Linked DNA regions of Ovis aries. The protein of the gene in region 3 interacts with the protein of the main gene of each other region in a biochemical or structural test. Links are inferred from orthologs where the notes say so. Each region holds a gene or a part of one and is shown on either strand. Other genes may lie near its edges. The genes, in order: HOXB1, PKNOX1 and PBX1.

Region 1 (4,068 bases), on a different chromosome or scaffold from region 3:
TGGGGGAAGGGGTAGAGGGCCCTTCCCTTCGCCTTTCCCCAACTTCCTCCTCTTTTCACACCCTTTTCTGTTCTCTCCAAACAGATCCACTATTCTCCTTTCCTGCCTTCCTCCTCTCAGGAAGGTCTCCGAACTGTTTCCTCCCTACCTCCTTTCCCCTCCAGGTCTTCCTGGAGGACTGACTCTGTCAGATTAAGAAACCTAGGACCCGGTTCTGCTTAGGCCCCACCCAGTAAGTCCTTCTCTTTACCCAACTGAGATCATAAAGCTCAGATGCTTCCAGCTCAACCAATTTGCATCTATTCTTTCCTCATCTCTCCCCCAGCCCTCTTGGAGAGAGCCCGCTTAACCCCTAGACAGGAGCAGAAGATGCCGGAGGAGGGGAAAACAGACTTTATTGAAATGAGGTAGCTGGAGGTACAGAGAGAACCTGGTTGCTTGGGGCTCAGGTTTCCAGAAAGAGTGGTGTCTCCACTGTCCCAAGGTTCAGAGAAATGCTTGATGCTGGTCGGAGCTCTCCCTGCACCTGGGCCTCCCTGGGCTGCACCAGGGGTGGGGGTGGAGATGAGGAAGAAGGTCCTGGCTTTTCCAGGAGGCAATAAATAGGGGAGGAACTAGTTGGGGCGAGCCTGCGCCTTCCTGGTAGAGGCTTGCTGGGGTCCAGCCTCAAACAACATTCCAGAAGTCTCTGAAGTACCAAGTTCCAAAACACTTTGGTAGCTTCGAGATAAAGTCGCCGGGGCTGGGGTGGGGGCAGGTCTCAGAAAACAACCTCTGGAGGCCGCTAGTGCAATACAAATGTGCCAGGAGGGGGTTAATAGGGTTTGATGGGGGTGGTGGGGGGAGTTTTTTGGTCTGTCACAAGGCAGCTGGTGCTATTGTAAGGTCTGTGGCAACTAGAGAGATTAAGCATTGGTCATAGCCAGCACCCAAATACCTCCCACACAGGAAACCTCTCTGTCCTGGGCCTAGAAGGGGGAGTTAGGATAAGAGTGCATGAGAGGAGAGTCCTCAAAGCTCAAAGGCACTGGACTGAACAAATGGAAGTTGGAAGGGAAAAGAGAACCTGGGAGGTTGGGACTTGCTCCCATCCCACCCGAGGGCTGATCCCTAGATTAGAGGCAGAAGGAAGCCCTTCCCTCACATTAGACAGGTTGGGTCTCCCATGCCTCTGGTCTGGTAGGGTCCCCAGCCATCAGCACCCTGCCCAGACTGGAGGAAAGCAGTCCCCCATTCCTCCCAAAGGCAGCTCTGAACTGGAGCCCCAGCCTAAGTAGTCGAGCTGAGGCCGAGATTAGGGAGAACAGAGGAGAGGGCTGGACAGGACTCCTCGTTTCTCTGGTGCTGAGGAGTCCCGGGTGGGAGGTTTAGTTCAGGAGGTGACAGAGCTGGGCGAAGCTTCCGGGGAGGTGCACGTGGACTGGTCGGAGGTGTCTCCAGTCGCCTCCTTGGGACAGCCTGGAGGGGCTGGGGGCACCCGGCCTCCCTCCCGCTCCCGCTTCTTCTGCTTCATGCGCCGGTTCTGGAACCATATTTTGACCTGCGTCTCATTGAGCTCCAGGGTGGCAGCGATCTCCACCCTCCGGGCCCGGCTCAGGTACTTGTTGAAATGGAACTCCTTCTCCAGTTCGGTCAGCTGCCGAGTGGTGAAGTTGGTGCGGAGGCCACCTGGCGCACCCAGGCCCAGCTCGGACACCTTCGCTAGGGGCGGGGCGAGAGAAGGGCCACGTCAGTTCTCTCCTCTTTCTCCTTCCCCTCCCCGCCCCCCGCCCCGGCCAGCTCTGCACCCCCAGTCACCACTCTATCCAGCTTCAGCTCTCAAAGTTTCCGTGGATCACCAGGCACCCCTCCAGACAACCTGGAGCCGCACCCCACACTTCCACCCCCCAGCTCCCCCTCGTCGGAACACCGGGTCCTGGGCGTGCGCTGAGCACACAGATCAGGAAGTGCGGCTGTGTGTGGAGACTTACCCTTAAGGGTAACTGCGCACTCACTCGGTGGGGAGACCCCACCTGACCTGAGAGTGAGCACAGTGCTCTTACCTGCCTCTACCCGGTATGCAGGCAGGAGCCCAGCCCAGGACACCTTCGTGCAAAAGCAGCAGAGCTGCTCTGAGCCCCCAGAGAGGGGGTGGCCACGTCTGAGCCCTACCTGTCTTGGGTGGGTTCCTCTTAACCTTCATCCAGTCGAAGGTCTGGGCTGTAGGGGTGCTCGTTTCTGACGCGCAGGCCGATTCCTTGTCCTCGGAGAGGAGATCAGCACAGGCCGGTGCAAAGCTCCCTGTCTGCTCGTTCCCATAATGGGGCTGCGGTGGAGGGTAGGGCCCTGGGCCCACTCCAGCGGTTCCATAGCCATCGGAGGACAAGGCCCCTAGCTGGGCCCCATAACTTGAAGGATGAAAATAGCCTCCATCTCCTTCCAGCTGGCCCAGAGGGTAGTACTGAGAAGACCCGTAGCTGGCACTGCAGGCAGCTGGGGAGTACCCCGAGGTCGCAGAGCTGGGGAAGGGCACCCCTAATGCCGAGGGTGGCTGTTGGGCCAGATAGCCTGAGTTCTGCTGGAGTGCAGAGCTGGGCAGCCCCCCACCATAGCGGGTCTCGCCTGCATAGCTGTCAACAGCGGAAGCCGAGCTGGGGGGGAAGGAGGTATGGGCGCTGTGGGCGCTGTAGGCGCTGGGTCCCCGGTTACAGAGTGGGTACTCTAAGAAGGAGTTCATCCTATTATAGTCCATGCGTGGAGGCCGCAGGAGGGTCGGCCCGTTTAGGGAAGACACCCTCTTGCCCTACAACCTTTCGGCAGTATGTCACAGCGCAGAAGCTTGCATCCATGGCCTAACCCAGCTTGCCTGGGCCAGCGCTCCCCCAGGAAGGGGGTAGGGAGTGGGGGTGGAAGGGTGCATGTGATCTCTCCCAGGCCAATGGGCGCAGCGGGCCACAGTTTGGCAGCCCCAGCGCCCATCCATCACCCCCCAAGCATTAGCATGACAAAGACACTTCAATCACCCACAGCCCATCCATCTGAGGGCGACATGGAAGCGTCAAAAACATCTTTCTTCAAAGACTTTTGGAAAGAAGGGACCAGAGGGAGAGGGGGCAAAAGTTAGAGAAATATTCAAGACTTTCCTCCCCTCTCAGTCCCCAAGGCCTTCAATAGGCTCCTAGGTTATTAGATTTGGACAAATTCAACCCAGCTGCCCTTCATTCTTCCCACCACCACCCCCTTCACCTCACAAAGGAGCAACCCCCTCCCCAAGTCTGTAGACCAGGAGATGGGGAATCCAGCCTCCTTTGCCCAGAACTCCCACTCTGAGTTTCTTTCTCCTAATTTGGGGTGATGGGCTAGAACAGCCAAGTCAGGTATGTTGTCTTGGGCCAAATGGATGACTGTGAAGGGAAAGGATGCAAAACACCTAAGGGTGTGAGGCATGGCCTAGAATCTAGAGAAAGAATTCATTAAGTGAGGGGTGGGAAACTGGCATTTCAAGGAGCAAGACAAGATGACAGCACTGCGGAGAAGAGGATGAGAAATGCCCCATTCCCCTCTCCACCTCGCCACATAACCACTCTCTCCTCATTCACACATCCATTTCTCTCCCTCAGCTTCTTTTTATATTCTCTCTGTCTCAATCCATCTCTCTGTTCCTCCATCTCTCTCCATATTTATATTCCTTCCCTACCTATCCATCAACTCATCTCTCCGGATGTATTTATCCTCTCTCTAGCCATCCATAGCTGTAGCTGGCTCGCTCACTCAGACTCAAATAATTCCCTGTGTCTCTCCAGAGAGCCACAATGAGCACAGAGCTAGGTGATGTTTACTTACAGGTGAAGACGAGGGAATTTTTATTCTTTTCCTGAAATGTTTTAAACTAGTGTAGTGCATTCTTCTGGTTCCTTCCTGTCCCACACCCCTCTCCCCCAAAATCCCAAGCCTCAAATCCATAAATTCAATAGCAGTTACATCTTAAAGATTACTCAAGTTTCCAATGAATTTTCTAGAATAGATCAAAGGATTTTGCTTAGAGAATGGGAGCTTCCGTGTGGCAGTCTTGAGGCTCAGGAGGGGAGT
Region 2 (4,352 bases), about 150 Mb from region 3:
TCCAGTGACTCACCCTGCTATGACCCCAGACAGTTCAGCTCTGGGTTCCCTGAGCTGTGCTGTTCCTACTTCCTCATCACCCTTGCCCTCATCACCAGCATCATGAGGAAGAAAAAGGGGGGCACCTACATACTCCTAGGAAGGGATGCGCTGACAGCAAATCCACTGCTAGTGCAGAGGCTCTTAACTTGGTCTCTGTGAACCTGAATGAGAAAAAAATCACATCTTTATAACGTCTGGCTGAAATTTAGCACTCATTCAATTCCACAGGTAGTCGCAAAATCCTGGAATTTGCACAGCACCTGTGACTTCTTCACTAACAGAAACTACAAATATTTTCACAAAACATTAGCACTGTACAAAAATCTCAAAGTGTCACTTATACTCATCAATACTCAAAAAGAATTAGATCTGGTGTTCCATCTGTTACTACATGAGCTAATAAAAGCAGGTAAGGAAATTCATTACAAGTTTAGTTCAATACTTTTGATAACTGTTGCTACTGCTAAGTCACTTCAGTCGTGTCCGACTCTATTCGACCCCATAGACGGCAGCCCACCAGGCTCCCCTGTCCCTGGGATTCTCCAGGCAAGAACACTGGAGTGGGTTGCCATTTCCTTCTCCAATGCATGAAAGTGAAAAGTGAAAGTGAAGTCGCTTAGTCGCGTGCGACTCTTAGCGACCCCATGGACTGCAGCCTACAAGGCTCCTTCATCCATGGGATTTTCCCGGCAAGAGTACTGGAGTGGGGTGCCATTGCCTTCTCCGATAACTGTATTTCAGTATAACAGGTTATTATTATTATCAAACTGTATTTTATAACTGTATTTCAGTATAATAGGTTCTCTTCCTGATCCTATTTCATTTTTTTAAAAACGTTTGTGCCAAGAGGAGGCGACCAGAGGTCTGGGGAGGGCAGGAAAGGCCCCCTGGGGCGCATGATTTGCATCACTCTAGAGGTTTCAAAGTGTTCTGAACAGTTTCAATTAGTTAGCAACAAAAGAGAGAGTTACGCTAGAATGTTACTATTCCCCCAGTACCTTTCACTGATCCTAAGTGGTACTTTCCTAAAGCTACAACACACTGAAACAGACATGTAAATATCTGTGCCCTAGAGGACAGCATTAACACCAGTATCATTAGTGTCTGCACTTAGATCATCAGCATGGGGTGTTCACCTTTCCAGTCCTGCCTCATCCGATATTTCACCAACTGTAATCCCCACTTGTAAATCTCTGAAGTAGGAAGGGTCCTTTGGAAAGCCCTGTGTGCTACAACTCTATTCCACAACCGTGCTGAACGAAACGCACGACTCTCTCCACGCTGGGAAAGTGAAGGAAAAAACCGATAAAGGCAAATTGGAGTCAGTGGGCCACCTTCCAAACCCACGTACACCTAGATTTGAGAGCATCACCAGCAACTGTACTGGCAGAATTTTCACATTTCACTTCGATTTTTCCACACAGTATTCAGAAAACACTGCATAAAACATTATACAAGTACATAAGCCCTCTCTTAATATGTCAGGAGAAATCATACAAGTATATCCAACAAAAGCTGAGGGTTTCATTTAGCATAAAGCGGGAAGTATCCCTACCAGTAGCTTCTACTGAAAACTAAGTCTTAGGATCAAAATTGTTAATCACAACCTCCTTACAAACGGCAAATCTACCCTGGATGGTGCAGGTCTGCGATCAAAGTTACCGAATGCACATTCGCGTCAGTACAGGTATTCCCCTCCCCCTCCCCAGCATCCGCCTTCCGCCCTCACCCCGGGACTCCGACCCGGGCAGCACGCACTAAGACGGATTCAGGAGTCGTGCATCACAAAGGAAAGCCTAACGGGCCCAGCCTCTGAACCACTAACGACGCCGCGTCCCAGCAGCCTCTGCGCTGAAATAAAGCAGACTCCTCTTTCCCTGCCTCTCCTGAGGTGACTCACGACCTCTCCCTCAAGGAATGTGGGAGCCAGCGGGCGGCCGGGCCGGGCCCCACACCGCCGTCCTCTAGCTCTAGTCGGCCGTTTACCACCCGCGACGCCTGTGTCACTCGCTCCAGACACCGCGCACCCCGGGCTCCCTAACAACCCGGGACCCGCCGGCCACCGCCCGGCCTCTGGGACCCCGGAAGCCCGAGGAGCGCGACGCCCCCGCCTCAGGGCCGCCGAGCACCCCGCCGCCGCCTCGCGAACGCCCGCCCCGCGCGCCCCCGAGCGGCCCCGCCCCCGCGCCCCGGACGCCGGCCCCGCCCCCGCGCGCGCCCGCTCCCCGCCCCGCCCCCGCGCGCCCCCTCAGCCCGGCCCCCGCCCCCGCCGCGCGCCCCCGCGCCCCCCGCCCCTCCCGCGCAGGGGCGCGCGCCGCGCTCCGAGAGGGACGGTTAGGAGCGCGCGCTTCGCCGCGGGCCCCGCGCGGCGGCGGCGGCGGAGCCTTCCAGAAATTTCCGCGTCCCTAAGCCCACACCGAAAAACAAGCGGGGCGCGCCCCCGCGCCGGCCCGGCCCTCAGCGCCCCTCCCCGCGGCCGCTGCTCCCCTCCCCCACCCGCGCCCCCTCCCCGCCCCCTGCCCCGGGCGGCAGGTCCGGCGCGGCCCTCCCGGGCGGCGGCGGCCCGCGGAGACCCAGCTGGCGGCGGCGGGGCGGCGGCTGCGGCGCCGGCGGGCCGGCGTGATTGATAGGGACGGGGCGGCGGAGCGGCGGCGGCGGCGGAGCGGTTGAGTGACAGCTTACCTGGGTGCCAATCTTCATCACACTGACAAGCGGCTGCAGCAATCGGGACCCGCAGTGCCGCGCCCGCGTCCAACCGTCACGCCGACGCTGGGCCACGCGACACAGCCTCGCTCAATGGGAGGAGGGCGACGCCGACGCGCGCCGCATCAATATTCACAGTGAGGGCGGGGCCTGAGGGTCCCGGGCCCCGCCCCGTCCCTGCGCCGCGGCGGCTGGAGGCGGGGCCTGGGCGCCGGGGGCGGAGAGTGAGCCGGGGGCGGGCGGTGGCCGGCCCCGCCCCCGCCTCTCAGTCGGGACCCGCCCCCAGCCGCTGGGCCGCGGCGCGAAGAGCGGCCCGCCCCTCAGGCCGCAAGCCCCGCCTCACTAGTGTGGAGCTGGAGGCGTGGCCTGCTAGCGTCACGCCCCCTCCGCTCTTTCCTCAGAGACCGGGGGAAGTGTGTGGAGCGGGCTTGGGTGGGCGAAACCATCTGCGATGGTCAGGCGGGGAGGGAGGGCCTTACCATCCGCGGGAGGAGCCCTGAATGCGCGCCCTGGCGATGCAGGGCAGGCCAGTCCCGGGCTGTCCTCGGAGGCCAGGCCGTGCGGGCATCTGGCGCCCAGGCCCCTAGTCTGCGCGGCGCCCCCTTGGTGTGCAGGTCCGAGGCAGTCCCCTGCTTTCTTCCCAGAGGTTGCACACGTGCGCCCCGAGAGCGGCGGCAGTGCCCAGCCACCAACCTGACCCCCGGCGCCCTCAGCCGCGGTCTGGGCTCCAGCCACCGCTGCAGGCTCGCCTCTGGTACCGCGCTCTGCCGTCAGGCACCTGTCCCCCGGTGGCCCACGCAGGCCCCATCTGCCAGTGAAGTGGTACCTCTTAGGGCGACGCGGAAAGTATGGTGTATCTCAAGGTGGACTTTCGAACACGGTGCTGCAGCGAGCCCGCGGGTCCCTCTGGTGGCCTTGCCCTCCAGGACGTTAAGGAAAAGGCAAGGCCTTTCCTACCGCAGAGGCATGGGGCCCAAACGGCTGTCCATTTCTACAGAAACATTCCTCCTTGGTGGGATCTCTGTCTGAAGAGGGGCTCGCACGCTGCCCCGGGACCCAGGACTGGAGGATGCCTGGTGATTCAGGAGGGAGTCAATGGGGAGCCGCCGGGAAGGACCTCCCTCCTGTCTTCAGGACTCCACCAGCACCATGAAGCTGCAGGCAGCCTGCGTGGTCCTGCAGAAATGCTCCGTTTTCCAGAGAGAAGGCTGTGATAGCAGCGCCTGGGCTAGGATGCAGTGAGCCACTGACCAGTGGAGAGTTGGAGGGAAGGGACCCACACAATTCAGTGGTGCAGACCAGCTACCTGTGTTTGCAGGGCCCAGTGCAAAGTCAGAATGAACGGTCCCTTGTTCAAGAGTTTCTAAGAATTTTAAGACAGGGACAGAAGATTATTATACCGGGCTGGGGCCCCAACTCATGGCACTGCTCACAGGCACCCTGAAGCAGCCCTGCCCTGGTTGGCCTCACCCTCTCCCCACCTGTGACTGAAGCTTTCACCTGGTTCTCATCAAGTGTGTGAGGCGGGAGAGGTCTCTCTCTGTCCAGGAGAACCTGGGGATGTGCTGTCCCCTGATGGCCCAAAACAAGTCCCAAGGCAGTTGAGA
Region 3 (3,588 bases):
GCAGTTTAAGTTCCCAATTTCCAGCATTGCTGTTATTCAGAATATGTAGGTGTCTATGAGAAGTTTCTTAAGGAAAGTATTTTTATCACTAGTCTCTCTTAGAGAGCTTCAGTCTATTCCATGAAAGTACCAGAGAGGACAAGCCAGTTATTTCGCTGTCTACAGACACCCACACTTGCTCCATATTAAGTGGAGCTGAGTGTTGCTCCAGTAACAGCCTTGGGCTATGGGTCCACATCTAGATTCCAGGGTAATCTGTCCCTCCTTGGATGTGTGACCCAGATATACCATCTGACCTCTCTGACCTCCATTTCCTCACCTGTATCAGAACGGAGAGGACGGCATCCATGAAAGTGCTGGAACAAGTACAGTTAGGTTGACAAAAGTGCTTTAGGCATTTTGGAAGAAGATGGAAGAGCAACAAGGAGGGGTTAGATCAAGAAGACAGTCTGTTCTTCTTTGTTGCTGGCAACCTGAGCTACAAAGAAAGCTAGTTTTTAACACCATCCAGCCTAATACCCATCTCAGTTGTAGGTTTGGGAGGAAGCCACACTCTGTGCCCCTGGAGTTTCCTGGTGGCTCAGACGGTAAAACATCTAGTTGCAATGCAGAAGACCCGGGTTCGATCCCTGGGTTGAGAAGATCCCTTGGAGAAGGGAATGGCAACCCACTCCAGTGTTCTTGCCTGGAGAATTCCACGGACACAGGAGCCTGGTGGGCTACAGTCCATGGGGTCGCAGAGAGTCCAACACGACTGAGCAACTAACACAGCCTGGAAACCAGGTCTAGATAGGTGGTTATGCCAGAGACCAAGCTTAGTGGTGAAGGTACAATGGGAAAAGCACGGCAGGGGGGAACCAAGTGGCTAGCTAGGGACCTTTACAGGAAATGTCCCCGTGAGTCTTCCCAAACTATCCCCTTGGTTGGGGCAGGCTGTGAACTCTAACGTGATGGCCCAGGCAGGGAACGTGTCATGGATCCACCAGCTTACCTGAGCTGAGCCTCTCCTGGGGTCTGATAAAATCTCTGCAAGAGTCTACATCATGATAAGAATGTCTATTCTTCCCTGAGAGGGTCGAGGGTGATGATCCACAGGTTCTTACCACAAAATGACTTTTGTTTTGCTCCCCTTCACATCTCCCTACACCTGTCCTGTGGCTGAAATTCACCACACTTGGCTTCCAGCTTCATAGTAACCTTCTTCCCTCATAAAAGAAGAAACTCTGTAGAAATCCATTTCAAAGGTAGATAGGAGTGCAATAATGAAACTTTCTCCACTTTAAATTTTAAAATGCCCATTTCTATTTTAAAATTTATATATTCTATTAAGTTTGCATTTGCCTTTTACTTAGACTGTCCTAAGTGGATGGTACAGGGTCTTCTACTTTTTGATTTTTTTTTCTCCTTCTTCTTCTATGATTCTTAAAAAAGAAAGCAAGCCAGAAATCTAACAATTCTATGGAAGCACATTAACTTAGAATTTCAGGAAAATGTCACATCCAACAATATGACAACCAACTAATGTCAGCTAAATAATGGGAGGAAATCCTGATGTTAAAGGACTCCTAGTAAAATAGTGTTGCTCATACTGACCAGAGGAAACAATATTGACATTTAAATTCATGTGTGTGTGTGTGTTGGGGGGGGCTCTAGTAGAGAGGGGTGCTATTAGAATACCATACAACATCTATATACTGTTTTGTGACTTAAAGCCTTTCTAAACTTGTCCTTCATATGATCCTTTTATGGCTCTCTGAGAGCTTAGGCTCCAAATCCACAGCTCTTTGCTGAATACTACCAGCTACTGAGGCACAGAATGTGGACCACTGGGTCCCACAGACCATCAGCAGCATGTCAGGGCTGGGAGTCAACTCTGTCCACTCCCAGGGGTCCCCTGAGACCCTCTACTTTTTTTATAGAGGGAGATGCGTATCATATTACATACTATATATGAAAGTCAGAGTATGATGGACTTCCATTTGAACTAATCTGGGTAGAGTGAAGGAATTTAAGGCCAGGTTTTAGTATCCGTTCCCATAGGCTTCCATGAGCACTGGGTCGTGAGGCATCTTCCTAATTAATGAGCCAGAGGACCCTCCTCACCCCTCCCCCGCCACCACCAAACACACACACACACACACACACACACACACACACACACACACTTCCCCAGCTCACCTGGAGGCTCTGCAACACCGAGAGCCCCAGAGCTGCATGCCAAGGGACAGTGCTCTGGAGCGCCAGGGACTGTTTCTGTACATAGACTCAGTTTCCTAAAATCATCAGTTGAATCTATTTTTTAAACTATTTTTTAAGTGATCTTGTCTCCAGTTTGCCTGAGCTTTCAACATTGGAGACCCTGGACTTGATGGGCTCAAGCTCAACAAGTGGCTCTGGGGAAAGGCCAGAAACACTGGATCCCGGATGGCAATCTCCAGGAAAGGCTAAGTGCCTCGGATCCCTCCTAGCTCAGAGTTCTTGATTTCTCCGCCCTGCCCTAAAGGGCTAGGGGGCCCAGACCCCACATGGCTGTGAATACCTGCTCGTATTTCTCCAGCTCCGTGTGGTAGATTTGTCTGATCTGTGAGAGTTTGGCTCTGTAATCGGAATGCTCCACTGAGTTGTCGGAACCGGCGCCTCCAGAAGCCGCCGCCGCCGCTGCTGCCGCCGCGGAGCCCCCGCCCTTCTCCGGCCCCGCCACCCCCTCGGCCAGCAGCATGTTGTCCAGCCGCATCAGCTGCGGGTCTGTCGGCTCCTCCTCCTGGGCTCCCCGGATACTCAAAACTGCAGGGAGATACAAAAGAGGGGGGAGGTGTTGACAGTAACCCAACGGAGTAACATTTAAAAACAACAGGAAACTCCCAATGTATGATTTGGCTGAAGAAGTCTCAAATCACTTAACAAAACGGCACCTGAGCAATGGGCGTGAAGAGGGCTGGAAAAAGAGAGGGATGGGAGGACTAGAAAATGCAAGGAGAGTCTGATTTGTTCCTGAGATTAATTATACTCCTCTTATATGAGGTGCCTAGAATAGTCCAACTGATGGAGACAGGAAGTAGACCTGTGGGTACCACAGGCTGGGAGAAGGGGGGGATAAGGAACTAGTAATGCATCCGGTCCCATCACTCCACGGGAAATAGATGGGGAAACAGTGGAAACAGTGTCAGACTAGTTTTGGGGGCTCCAAAATCACTGCAGATGGTGACTGCAGCCATGAAATTAACAGACGCTTACTCCTTGGAAGGAAAGTTATGACCAACCTAGATAGCATACTGAAAAGCAGAGACATTACTTTGCTGACTAAGGTCTGTCTAGTCAAGGCTATGGTTTTTCCTGTGGTCATGTATGGATGTGAGAGTTGGACTGTGAAGAAGGCTGACTGCCAAAGAATTGATGCATTTGAACTGTGGTGTTGGAGAAGACTCTTGAGAGTCCCTTGGACTGCAAGGAGATCCAACCAGTCCATTCTGAAGGAGATCAACCCTGGGATTTCTTTGGAAGGAATAATGCTAAAGCAGAAACTCTAGTACTTTGGCCACTTCATGCGAAGTTGACTCATTGGAAAAGACTTTGATGCTGGGAGGGATT

Evidence for each region.
Region 1: the proteins of PBX1 (region 3) and HOXB1 are reported together in a solved structure, tested with the Homo sapiens proteins (2 studies listed by BioGRID and IntAct, with this or other methods). The link is inferred for Ovis aries from reciprocal best matches to the Homo sapiens genes PBX1 and HOXB1.
Region 2: the proteins of PBX1 (region 3) and PKNOX1 form a complex in vitro, tested with the Homo sapiens proteins (2 studies listed by BioGRID). The link is inferred for Ovis aries from reciprocal best matches to the Homo sapiens genes PBX1 and PKNOX1.

The regions. Positions count from the first base shown.
Region 1 is NC_056064.1:37,689,049-37,693,116, reverse strand, and holds HOXB1 (homeobox protein Hox-B1), read right to left. Parts: upstream 2,844-4,068; 5' UTR 2,732-2,843; coding exon 2,152-2,731; intron 1,702-2,151; coding exon 1,373-1,701; 3' UTR 373-1,372; downstream 1-372. UniProt on the Homo sapiens protein: Sequence-specific transcription factor which is part of a developmental regulatory system that provides cells with specific positional identities on the anterior-posterior axis. Acts on the anterior body structures.
Region 2 is NC_056054.1:263,841,800-263,846,151, reverse strand, and holds the start of PKNOX1 (homeobox protein PKNOX1), read right to left. Parts: upstream 2,852-4,352; 5' UTR 2,725-2,851; intron 2,196-2,724; exon of another isoform or gene 1-2,195. UniProt on the Homo sapiens protein: Activates transcription in the presence of PBX1A and HOXA1.
Region 3 is NC_056054.1:116,740,694-116,744,281, reverse strand, and holds part of PBX1 (pre-B-cell leukemia transcription factor 1), read right to left. Parts: intron 2,785-3,588; coding exon 2,540-2,784; intron 1-2,539. UniProt on the Homo sapiens protein: Transcription factor which binds the DNA sequence 5'-TGATTGAT-3' as part of a heterodimer with HOX proteins such as HOXA1, HOXA5, HOXB7 and HOXB8. Binds to the DNA sequence 5'-TGATTGAC-3' in complex with a nuclear factor which is not a class I HOX protein.